Linked DNA regions of Elephas maximus indicus. The protein of the gene in region 2 interacts with the protein of the main gene of each other region in a pairwise test. Links are inferred from orthologs where the notes say so. Each region holds a gene or a part of one and is shown on either strand. Other genes may lie near its edges.

Region 1 (4,010 bases), on a different chromosome or scaffold from region 2:
TTATTAAACTATTATTGGAACATTTTTCTGAAATTCTTAGAATTGAGTTATTTCCAGAGATATGGATAATAAGATGATAAAGGGTAAACAGGAGAAATCGAGGACTTTTAGTTCCCTAGCAGTCTCTGAGTGGCGCCAGCGGTTTGCAGTCAACTACTAACCTAAGTTGGCAGTCAAACCCACCCAGCCGCACAGCAGAAAAAAAAGCCTGGAGATCTGCTTCCCGAAAGATTACAGCCAAGAAAACTCTACGTAGCAGTTCTACTCTGTAACACATGGGGTCACCATGAGTCAGAATCAGCTCCACAGAAATCTGTTCGGTGTTTTTTTTTTTTTTAATTTCCTAGAAAGAAGTTTCCTTGAACTGGCCTAATAAGGTAAGATTCGTAGCTGGCCTCTTCCTGGCTCCCAAAAGATCTTTTTCCGCTGTCCCTAGTGCTCATTACTACTACCCTCCCTCTGTAATAGATACTTCAGGGTATGGATTTAAAAGTTTTAGGAGAAATAAGTAAATGAACTAAGACTAAACTCACAAGAGAGAATCAAATGTAGCAATTAAAATTACCGGCCAATTTTTTTTCGAAATATAATACTCTGTGCTTTCTTCTTTGGGTGTCGCACCCTGTAGTTTTGTGAGCTTAGAAAATAAATATGAACAGAATGTGTTGCCTGCTGGGAAGCAAAAGCTCGAGAAAACGGTTCTAGGACTAAGTGTCTTCCCTCCTCTGTGACTTCAGCTTGCTCCACAGTGACAGCGGATGGTCTGATAGGGAGGCACTACCCAAACAACGAACGTGTACCTGAGCATGTCACCTCAAAGCTAGATGCCCGGCAATGCTGAGTACTTATTTAGAAACCCTAAAACCGAGAGGGCAGGGATACCTAAGGATGATTCATTTTCCACTTAAGATTGAAATGTCTTAACACCAGGCGTCTACCTACTACAGAGCATTGCCTAACGCCTGGTACAGTATATGTTAATCTCAGGCTGGTGATCTACTCAGTTCTCAAAAATACTGGAACCCCTATACATACGGTAAGTGTATACACTTCGGTGTGTATTAGGACATTAAAAGGGCTCCAGGGAACTCTCTGGTTGTCTTGAAATACCTCCACCTCCCGGAGCCCGTCCCTTTAGCCCAGAGGGCAACCTGGCGATCTCCTAGGAGACCACAAGGAAACAAGTGCGCACGCGTAGGGCACAGCCCGGCTGATGCAACCTTCCGCGTGCGAGCGGCGTCCGCCGAGAGTAAGGAAGCCGACAGGGAAATGGGCGAGACCAATCAGCGGCCACACGGAAGTGCGCGCTAAGGCCCGCCCCCCGGTGCTCTGCGAGGGACGTTCGGCTGCGCCGGGCTGGCGGCGTAGGCGCCCCGGCCGTGCTGCGTCTCATCCGGTTGCCTCGGGGTGTCCTGCCCCGGCGCTGGCCCTGCGGCCATTTTGGACTGGGCTTCCACCCGCGTTCGCCTGCCTACCCCGTCCTTCCGGTGTCGTGCTGCGGAGGGGCTTTTTAACGGTCCTTCTCTCTTGGAAGGTCGCCGCCGGAGGAGCGTTCCCATCTATGGTGGCCAGGCCTCGAGCGAACTAGGACACCCCCTTCCTCGCCGGGATGGCTCTCGCCTCAGCTGCCGCGTCCTGTTCCTGCAGTTCCGGGCCGCGATCCGCCGCCTGCTGCCGAAGCCGCTTTGCTCTGTGGCTCCTCTCCTGGCCCGGGGACCGGCCTGGAGCACCGACTCCGCTGCTTGGTAAGGCCAAGACTGTTTAGGCCTCTTCCGAATCGCGTCCGCCCTCCGGCCGCCGAGGTCCGAGTGCCTGAGACATTGCCAGGAAAAAGGAGATGGAGCCGGGAGCAGACAGGTCGCGGAGACGGGCGGGCGCCCGGTTCCGGCTGCCCTTCCTCTTCCCTTGGCCATCGCGGCCAGGCTCTTCCAAGTTCCCCACACCCGTCGCTCCGGAAAGCTCCGGGGACCCCAAACTGGCTTCCTCTCCCCCGCCCCAGGCTCGGACCAGCTACTGGATGAAACTGCTTTCCCAGCTCTTTGCGCCGCTCCCCAGCTTGTTTCAGAAGCTGCTGATTTGGAGCCAGCTTTTCGGTGGGCTGAGTCCCACCAGATGGCTGGAGTTTGCTGGAGGCTACAGCGCCCTGAGAGCCCTGAGGGGACGGGACGAACCTGTCGCGCCCATCGCCCAGAAATCTGTGAGTTCGCTGCGGCTCGACCTCTCGGACGACTCGGCGGCTGCCAGCCCCCTTGATTGGCTAGAGGAGGGGATCCATTGGCAGTGCTCGTCCCCAGATCTAGAATTGGCACTTACAGCCAAAGGGCGCGCATTGGACCCTGCGGCACCCGCTTTCCTCTTAGAGCAGCAGCTGTGGAGAGTGGAGCTGTTGCCGAGTAGCCTTCAAGCCCAGCTCTTGAACCGGGAACTTGGCTCTTCGCCCTCAGGGCCTCTCAACATTCAGCGCTTAGGCAACTTCAATTTAGTCTCCTGTTTGCTGAACGCCTCCTACCTGGACTGCCTTCCTCGCCTAGAGCTCAGTTATCAGAACAGCGTGGGAAGTGGCCAGCTGGTGGATTGCCAGATTTGGACTCCAGAGAGCAGCTGCCTGACTGATGACCATTGTCACCCCAAGCCACTGAATGCAGAGGTCACTAAAGCCTCGTGGCAAGAATGCCCACCTCTTTCTACAGAAGGCCTGCCCGAAATCCACCATCTTCGCATGAAACGTCTGGAATTCCTGCAGCAGGCTGGCAAAGGGCAGACGTTACCCACCCCTGACCAAGATCATGGCTACCACAGCCTGGAGGAGGAGCACAGCCTTCTTCGGATTGATCTGCAACACTGCAGAGAGAACCCAGCACAGTTTGTTTCACCTGCGGAAGCCATACCTGGAACCTCCCAGGAAGTCACTGAGGAAAACATAGAATTGCTGACTGAAGAGGCTCTCCATGCTCTGGAAAAACAGGACCCTTTGGGAAGCTGCCCATCTTGTGAGATATCTGTGGTTGAAGAGCCTGGAGAGGACCAGGTTTGTGGGGTTGACAACTCAACCCTAGAAGATGACCAGCCCATGTCTGCCAGACCAGCCTGTAGCAACAAACTGATAGATTACATTTTGGGAGGTGGGTCCAGTGACCTGGAGTCAAGTTCTGATTCCGAAGGTGAGGATTGGAATGACGAAGCAGAGGATGATGGTTTTGACAGTGATAGCTCACTTTCAGAGTCAGACCTTGAGCAAGACTCTGAAGGGCTTCACCTTTGGAACTCTTTCTACAGTGTAGACCCTTACAATCCCCAGAACTTTACAGCAACCATTCAGACTGCTGCCAGAATTGGTCCTGGAAACCCCTCTGATTCAGAGAACGATTTGTCCGACGGATCTGATCTAGAGAATTCTCCCCAGACTAGAAGCCTTCCTGAGTCTCCTGACCAGAGTTCTGGAGAGGAAGATGACTGGGAATCTAGCGCAGATGAGGCTGAGAGTCTCAGACTGTGGAACTCTTTCTGTAACTCTGATGACCCCTACAACCTTTTGAATTTTAAGGCTCCCTTCCAAACATCAGGGAAAAATTGGAAAGGCCATCGTGACTCAGAGAGACCATCTGAGTCCTTTGTAGCCATTTCTGAGTGTCACACCTTCCTTTCTTGTAAAGTGCAGCCGTTAGGGAGCCAAAGAAGTGACTGTCCAGACTTGGTCCACTACCAGTTTCTCTCTGGGGAAAGACACAGGCATATCAAAAGAAAAAAGGTTCGTTTATTTTCTTAACATGCGTGGTGATTTGTTCTCGTGGTGGATGTGGTTAAACACAGCAGCATGACTTTTTTGGAGGCATAGTAGTGCATCTTTTTGGGGAAGATCTCTAAATGGGTTGGGAGTTTCCCTGCAGGTTTCAACTTTTCATGCTTTTTCAGGGAACGGAAATATACACAATTTTTCTAGAGATTGGGACGGTCCTATCATTTAGAGTTTTTAAATGGTTATCATGTGATATGCCATTGGCAAACGCTTA
Region 2 (4,010 bases):
GGAACTTGGCCACCACCTCGGCCCCGAAGGTAAAGGAGACACCGCGGTCGTTCTCGCCCCAGCCCTGCACGTCCTTGTCGGGGTCGGACCACAGCAGGTCGCACAGCAGGCCCTGGTCAGGCACATCGGTGGGCCGCATGATCCGCCGGATCTGCTCCATGGATTGCAGGTCTGGGGATAGGCCTGGGAGACACACGCGGCTCGATGCCTCAACAAGCCTCCACCAGGGAGCCCACCTCCAGGCAGCTGCACCAACCACCTCACCTTCCCCACCACCACCACCACCACCGCCAGGCCCAGGCAGGCCTCTTCATCCTCCCCTCAGCATTTACCAATCGCTGAGCACAGGGGCAAACAAACAAGAATTCCCTGCCCTCAAGGAATGCCCACAGCTCTCTGGAAAAAGGAGATAAGCAAATTCCACCACAGTGCACCCTAACAGAGGGTGGTGAGGCAACTTCTTGGAAAAAGTGACATCTAAGACAACACGCAAGCCGTTCCAGGCGACAGGACACTCGCCCTCCAGCGAACCATGCTTCATCCCAAGGCGGTGTGGCTGGCCCTGCCTTCGCAGGCATTCACTCCCTCAGCAGCACGACGCCGGCTGTAAGAAGGCGCTCGCCAGCCCCCAGGCCCGCACCTCCATGGCAGCAGAAAATCTTCTCATCCACAATGGCCGCGATGGGCAGGCAGTTGAAGCAGTCGGTGAAGGTTTTCCACAGCTTGATGTTGTAGCGTCTCTTGCCTGCTTGGAGGAAAGGGCTGGCTCTGAGAAGGCTGTTCACTGACCCCACCCCACCCCAGCCTGGGTCTCTGGGCCCCCCAGGGTGCTGCGTGGGCCATCCAGACCCAGCTGGGAGAAGAGAGTGAAAGGCAAGGGGGCTAACATTCCCCACGCTGCCTACCACTCCTCCAGGATGGAGTTCTAAAGCAGCAGAGTCCACAGGAACGCCCAAGTTCCAATCCAGAACCTCAGGGTTGGTACATCCTCCGCCTAACACACACCCACCCACCCCAACCCCATGAGCAGGGCCAGGCAAGACCTGATCTGGTTTAGCTCAGCTTCTGGCCAGCAGAGTCCAAGCCAGTTAGACGTCCTGAGTATTTAAGTAATGGGTGCACTGGAGGTGGGAGTGTCACCAGGCAGAGCCTCCAAGAAAAGCAGTACGAATTCAAATTGCCAGCAACCATTCACCAAGCCCCTCCTGAGTGTATCCCCTCCAGGGAGGGCGGGCCAGGCAGACATGCCCTGAACCAGACCCTGCCTTTGCGGAGCTCAGTCTAGCGGGAATCTGGCAGGCAGTATGGCTAACGCCAAGCCAATATGAGGGTTCCGCTGAACAGAGAGGAGGGCATTTGAGCTGGGCAGTGCCCAGACCCCGGACCACTCACACTCGTCATAGAAGCCGTAGATGCGGTTGATGCTGGCACACTCGTGGTTCCCACGGAGCAGGAAAAAGTTCTCGGGGTACTTGATCTTATAGGCCAGCAGCAGACAGATGGTCTCCAGAGACTGCTTGCCCCGGTCCACGTAGTCCCCCAGGAAGAGGTAGTTGCTCTCCGGAGGAAAGCCGCCGTACTCAAACAACCGCAGAAGGTCATAGTACTGGCCGTGGATGTCACCTGTGACCCCGGGAATCGCGTCAGTGCCAGGTGCAGGGTTTGCAAGTGAAGCGGGGTCAGGTTAGGCTCCAGAGAGGAGGGACCCAGACACTTGAGGGGCCTATGCCACTTTCAGGGGGCTCACCGCATATCTTGAGGGGCGCCTCCAGCTCCAGAAGAATGGGCTGGCTCAGGAAGATCTCCCTGGACTTGAGACACAGACCACGGATCTCGTTCTCTGTCAGCTGGACATTCTTCCCAGGCCGTGAGCCTTGCACTGGGGGAGAAAAGGGCGTCAGGACTCTGGGTCTTCAGGCAGGAGGGTGGGCGACACGGGGTCCCACGGTACCCCTCCTGGCCCAGGGACAGATGTTGCTGTCGCCTGGGACCTCGGCCTCAAGCCCCCCAAGACAGGACCCCACTACCCTCAGGGCCCTGTACATGGGGTTGCTGTGCGCCAGGCCCGCCGCCCCACACCTCAGAGCGCGGGACCCCACCCCGGTCTAGGCGCCTCAGGTCCCGCACGCACCCGAGACCCCCGGCCCTGGAGAGGGGGCTGCTCCGCGAGCCGGAGCGGGCCTCGGACCCCCCAGGCGTGCCCGCGCGTGGGGGAGCGGCGGTGGGCCGGGACCTCGGGGCGTCCCCGCCCAGGCTACGCAGGCCCGGGAGGGGCAGGCTCGCCGCGCGCCACTTCCGGGCCGGGCGGGGGGCCAAGGCGGGGCGGGCGCGACCCTGCCCGGCCCCCGCTCACCTTCCAGAAGGCGCCCGATGATGGAGTCCAAGTTGAGCTTCTCGGTGTCGGACATGGCGGCGCCGCCGCTCCGACCCTGCCGCTCCGGGCCCGCTCCTGCCGCCCGCCCTCCTGCTGCCTCCTTCCGGCCTGGCGCTCTTTCCGCCCGCCCGGGCCGCCCCCGCGCGCCTCCCGCCCCGCCTCGGCCGCCGCCCGGCCCGCGCCCGCGCCCGCGCCCGCGCCCGCGCCCGCGCCCGCGCCCCGCGCTCTAGCGCCCCCTCCGGACGGGAGGCGCGGCGCCGCCACGGCCTTGGAGGCCGGGCCTCGGCGGTGGGCGGGCTTTGGCGGGGTGGGGTGGAGCCTGGCTGTGGCTTGGGGGCGTGGTTTGTGGGGCGTGGCCACGTCTGGTCCCGCCCCCCGAGGAGTCACGGAGCCCGGTTCTGAGGTCTCTCACCAGAAGTCCTATGGAAGTTGTTTTTCCCTTTTAGACTGAACAGCCCTTTTTCCACCGCTGCCCTGTGGTGGTTTGGCCCTGGGGCGAGGGTGGTGCGAGCGCATTAATAACCGCGACAAACCCAGCCCTGTCCGTCTCCCCAAACGTGGCGGGTTGAGTCCTAGAAGTTCAGAAAAGGAAACTGAGGCTTCGAGATAGCAAAGGGCTGACCTGAGACAGTGATCTCACATTCACGGAGGGTCTCATTCTCCTAAGTCTCCCTGGCAACCCCCGGGCGGCCGACCAAGCCCGAAGACCACCTGTCACTGACCTTCAAACCCATTCTTGTCCACACCGAACCAGAGTAGTGCTGGCTAAATGAAAGTCCTGTAATTACCTTGTGAGTAATTACCTTGTGAGTAGCACAGTTAAACAATGTGCACGCATTATGTACGTGTTAAAAGCGTAACTTTGTAAAGAGCAAACAGTAAATAAGCCCTAATTCTCATTGGAGCCCCACCTTGGACGTCTTACATGCCAGGAATCTAAATCGGAGGCGACACCTCCTCTCTACCTCTCTACCTAGCAGACCCGCGCCACACAGAAGGCATAGAAACCCACATCTGCGGCCCCGTGGGAGGTTGGGAGGGGCCGTGGCTCACAGGGCACCAGGGCAGGCAGGAAGAGCCTCAGAGAGGAAGGGGTGACCTCCCTACTTGGGAGGGGCCCCTCAGCGCGCTGCTGAAGCTAGGGTTGAGGAGGAAGTGAGAGGAGGAGGTGAGGTGCAGCCCAGAGGTGAGCTGGGCTGGTGGGGGCAGCAGCTGGGCCTGGGTCTGGATCTTTGTACAGAGGTCTGGCCTTGCTGCCATTTCAGGGCCTAGTCACCAGCCCCTGACTCCGAAAAAGAGGGAACCCAGGGGCCTTGGTGAGATACCCTGAAACCTACCCCTCCGACTCAACATCTAGGCCCTGGGGCTGGGGCCTGGCTGGCTGTGAGCCCCGAACCCAGACGGGTCGGGAACTGCCCTTTACCCTGGCTCTCCCCGCATCTTGCAGCCGGTGGCATCTGGGGTCGGGGGCAGCATGGCCCAGGCCCTAGGGGAGGACCTGGTGCAGCCTACCGAGCTGCAGGATGACTCCAGCTCCTTGGGGTCCGACTCAGAGCTGAGTGGGCCCGGCCCATATCGCCAGGCTGACCGCTATGGCTTCATCGGCGGAGGCTCAGCAGAGCCATGGTAAGTGGGG
Region 3 (4,010 bases), on a different chromosome or scaffold from region 2:
CACTGGCACAGCCCACAAACCAATCACCAATAGTGGTGCTGGGAGCCAACAGGAGCTCAAAAGGGGCAGGCAGCTCAACCCCTCCTTCAGGACACCCAGGGAATGTGGCAAGAACACTCAAGGCCTGCCTTAGCCAAGGCCAGGGGAGTTTGTCCTGTTGAGAAGCCATGACCAAAGGCATGCCAGCCACTGCTGGGTGCCCTCAGACCTGTATGGGACTCCCCACCCCATCCTCTTCCCCACCTCCTCCTCTTTCACACCCTAGAGATGGCCTAGTCCCTTTAGCAGGTCACACAAAGTGCCCCTCCCTGTGGAACTGGACCTTGGTAGCTTGAAATAGCACTGACCCCCAGGTGACTGAGTCCCAGCCTAAGCCTTTCCCCCACCCCCAGTCACACGGTCCCAGTTCAGTGCACCCTGACAGACCTGCTTCCCCCTTTCACTTCTGCAAAGTTGGGGTGGGGGCTACAGGCACGATGGAGGAAGGGCTGCAGTGTCCTGCCCCTTCATTCGTTCTGGGAAGTTCCCAGCTCCCCTTCCTTCTCTCTCCTGCCTCTGTTCAGCCCCCCTCACCCTATCCAGCTCCTGTCTGTGGGGGAAACGAAGGAGTGTTTCCAAGCTCCCCCGGCCCCCTCGCGCCCAGAGTAGGGTAGGACAAATGCGGGGGGGGGGGGGGGGAGGGTTCTCCTGAGGACACACGTATGCCTTTCCACCAGCCAAGCCTCTGCCCCTGGCAGCCCCAGCCCCAGCCCCTGGAGGAAGGAAGGTCTGGGAGAAAAGGCAAAGCAGGTGTCTCAGCACCCGCATAGGGCAGGACGGGTGGGGCACCTGAGGGCAGGTCGGGGCAGGCCACCCCCTTCCCAGGCCTGGAAATCATCCCCCTCTGACAAACAGCTGGAACTCCCCCACGCCCCCCTCAGGGTGGCAACTTCTGGGAAGGGGGCTGGGTGGCAGGGGCTGACTCAGCCTGCCAAACCAGGCCGGCCGGGTGGGGGCGTCGGCGCGCACGTGGCAGGGGCGGCGCAGGGGTGGCCGGGGGTTGGGGGCGCTCACTCACTTGGATGGGCGCCGTGCTGAAATGGATCTTCCGGCTCGGGGCCGGGTCCTCTTCCTCCGAGAGCCCCGGGATCTCCACACATCCCGACTCGGGCTCGTAGGGGGGCTCCCCATCCTCCTCGTCCTCTTCGTCCTCTTCCTCCAGGGCACTGCCCCCAGAGTCCTCCCCAAGCCCGCTGTAAGCGCTCACGTCCACCAAGTCGGCTTCGGAGAAGTCCTCCTTCTTGGACTCATCCGCCTCCTCAGGGGCCAAGTCTGGGGCCCGGCCATTGCCGACCCCCTTATCTGTCACAGCCACAGCCACAGCCGCCGACGCCGGCGCCTCGTCGGGGGCCGCTTGGGCCTTCTGCTCCTCGGGCGCGGGGCTGGCTGTGGTTGCCACGGTGCTCCCATTCTCCAGGGCCGCATGGACCGTCACCTCGGCCTGGATCACTTCCCCGGGCGCCGCCTCGGCCTCCGACTCCCCGCTCTCCTCCACCTCCACCGGCTTAATCTTGCGCACCTCCCGGGGCTTGGGGGGCGGCCGGGCGGGGGCGACTCGGTGTTGCGGGGGCTGCTGCCCTCCGGGGCCGCGCTCCTTCTCGGCCGGGGCATCCCCCGACGGGGCGGGCGGTGGCGGCGGTGGCTGGAACACCCGGGAACGCTTACTGACCAGCTTCGAGTTGACCTGCGGAGCCCCGGCGGCCGCGGCCCTGGGGGGCCCGGGCCCACGGTGGAGGCCGGTCCTCAGGTCGGCCTTCTCAAAGACGGCGCTGAGCTGGCTGACCGTCGGCGACACAGCGTCGGCGTCCAGCTTGTCCAGCGCCTCGGTACTGCCGTTGAAGCGCACCACTACGTCCAGCTTCCGATCCTGCAGGCCGGCGCGCTCCTGCCTCAGCAGCCGCCGCGCCGCGGCCTCCTTGTCGCCGCCCGCGGCCGCGGGGACGCTCCGTTCGAACAGCTTCCGCGTCTCCTGCAGCCGGGAGGGCGGATGCGGCGGCGGCGCCGGCTGCGCCGAGGGCGCGGGCTTAGAGTCGAAGCGGCTCACGCGCTCCGACACGCTGGTGCCCAGCTTGAGCAGGGCGCTGTGGTCCACGTTCTCGTTCAGGCTGCTGGCCCGCGGCAGCGACAGGCGAACGCCGCGCTCGGGCGCCCGCGGGGCCTCGGTCGGGCCCGCGCCGCCGCCCGCCTCGCCCGGCGGCCCGGCCGTCGTGCCCATCTGCAGGAACATACTTTTGATGCGGTGGACGTTGGAGCCATATTTCTTGTGGTGGGCTGCCTTAGGTGCCTCGTCCGGCCCGGGCGCGTCGGGCGGCTTCAGCGCCTGGATGCCCGCCTCGTAGGCGCTACGGTGCGGGGAGGCGCTCCGGAGGGGACCCCCGGGCCCCCGCGGCTCTGTCTTCATCATGGTGGGGGGAGCCGGGTTCGCATCCCCCTGCTCCCCGTTCTCCCCCGCCAACAGGCGGGTGGCCAAGTCGGGACCACTGTCCCCCTCCCCCCGAAAAGAAACCCTGAGAGGCCTTTTCTAGGCTCCCCCAAAAACCAAGCTGCCAAAAACAGTTAACCCTGTTTAAGGAAAAAAAAAAAAAAAGGAAAAAATCCCCGGGCGTCCTGTGTGGGTAGCCTTCCCAAATCAAGCTGCCAAAGACAGTCAGACCCTCTTAAAAAGCCCAAGCGGCCTGGTACGGTCGCCCCCACCTAAAATAGAAAAGCGGCGGCCAGGCCGGTGGGACGGCGCGCCCTGTCCAAGCAGCAGCGGCGGCGGCGCCGGCTCACATCCTCCGAGGCGGTGTCAGCGGGGCTGGCAGCCCGGGCGTCCCCCACCCCTGCCGGGGGCCTCGGCTCTCCGGGGGCCGGGCACCCCGGCGCCCATGGCTGCTCCGCCGGCCGGGGCCGCTCCGCCGCCGCGCCTCCCTCCCTCCCTCCCTCCCCCCCGCGCCCCGAGCTCCGGTCTTTCTCTCGCTGTGCCCGAGCGGCGGCTGCCGGAGACCGAGCGGCTGCCCTTCTCGCCGCCGCCGCTGGGGGACTGGCACCTCTGGGTCCTAGAGGGATCGGATTTCCGGGGCCAGAGTCTGTGAGCCCACCCCTTCCCCTACACCCAAATAAATCCCCTCCCCTGCCGGTCCCTCGCCGAAAGCCTTCCGCTGCCCTCAGGCCTTGCTCAATCCTCTGCGACCCTTCCATCCCAGCCTCTGGCTGCGGTTTATCACAACCCACATAACCGCACCCCCATTAAATATTGGGGGTAGGGCAGACCAACCACAGTGGTTTTAGTGGGGCCCCTCTCCACCCCAACGTGAAGGGGGATAGGTAGGAAGGGGCAAAGGATCATTTTCTTCCAGGTCCTTAAGGCTCGCTAGTGTTGTTCAAAGCTGTCATTATCAAAATCACTGGGGCTTGGTAAAAACACAGATTCTGGGCCCTCCCTCAAACTTTGTGAATCAGAAGCTCAGAGAGCGGCCCGGGATTCTGCATTTTACCACTTTTCCTCCTGGGGAATCTTAGGCACTCCGTAATGTCTGAAACCTTGGTACAGTGTTGCTGGCCTTAGGAGGGAGGAGGAGAAGGAATGGAGAAAGAAGGTGGTCCCCATCACCCGAAGGGCAGGAAATCCCGAAAGCTACCCTTTGCCATTCGGAAGTTTGTAGAGGGTGTCCCGGTAGCCTGTCTGCACCCCAGGCTGGAACGGAGGGGTCGCAAACCCCTTCCTCCTACCCCTACAGGAGCACTCGCCTCTCAAGCAGGAAGGGGGAGATGAGGAGGAGGAATTCTAGAGGCCTGTGGCCAAGGTTTACCCAGCGAGAATTCTAACTTGGGTCTCTTATCTAGAGGGTCCTGGCCACTATGTGCATGTGGGGGTGGGGGGGGGGCAACGAGGTCACAATGACCTACACATGCCCTGTCCTGGCAACCCAGAAAACTATTTTGATGTTCCCTCGCAGCCCACACCCCTCTCCCGCCCTAACACTCACACA

The links.
Region 1: the proteins of PPP1CA (region 2) and PPP1R15B interact in binary tests that used the Homo sapiens proteins (3 or more experiments, as listed by UniProt). The link is inferred for Elephas maximus indicus from reciprocal best matches to the Homo sapiens genes PPP1CA and PPP1R15B.
Region 3: the proteins of PPP1CA (region 2) and PPP1R9B interact in binary tests that used the Homo sapiens proteins (3 or more experiments, as listed by UniProt). The link is inferred for Elephas maximus indicus from reciprocal best matches to the Homo sapiens genes PPP1CA and PPP1R9B.

What each region holds. Positions count from the first base shown.
Region 1 is NC_064836.1:13,666,158-13,670,167, reverse strand, and holds the start of PPP1R15B (protein phosphatase 1 regulatory subunit 15B), read left to right. Parts: upstream 1-1,318; 5' UTR 1,319-1,837; coding exon 1,838-3,748; intron 3,749-4,010. UniProt on the Homo sapiens protein: Maintains low levels of EIF2S1 phosphorylation in unstressed cells by promoting its dephosphorylation by PP1.
Region 2 is NC_064825.1:130,433,460-130,437,469, forward strand, and holds the start of PPP1CA (serine/threonine-protein phosphatase PP1-alpha catalytic subunit), read right to left. Parts: upstream 2,504-4,010; 5' UTR 2,409-2,503; coding exon 2,354-2,408; intron 1,880-2,353; coding exon 1,748-1,879; intron 1,624-1,747; coding exon 1,393-1,623; intron 746-1,392; coding exon 641-745; intron 184-640; coding exon 1-183. Other genes in the region: TBC1D10C (carabin), read left to right, coding at 3,849-4,000. UniProt on the Homo sapiens protein: Protein phosphatase that associates with over 200 regulatory proteins to form highly specific holoenzymes which dephosphorylate hundreds of biological targets.
Region 3 is NC_064837.1:43,474,243-43,478,252, reverse strand, and holds the start of PPP1R9B (neurabin-2), read right to left. Parts: upstream 2,938-4,010; 5' UTR 2,444-2,937; coding exon 1,058-2,443; intron 1-1,057. UniProt on the Homo sapiens protein: Seems to act as a scaffold protein in multiple signaling pathways. Modulates excitatory synaptic transmission and dendritic spine morphology. Binds to actin filaments (F-actin) and shows cross-linking activity. Binds along the sides of the F-actin.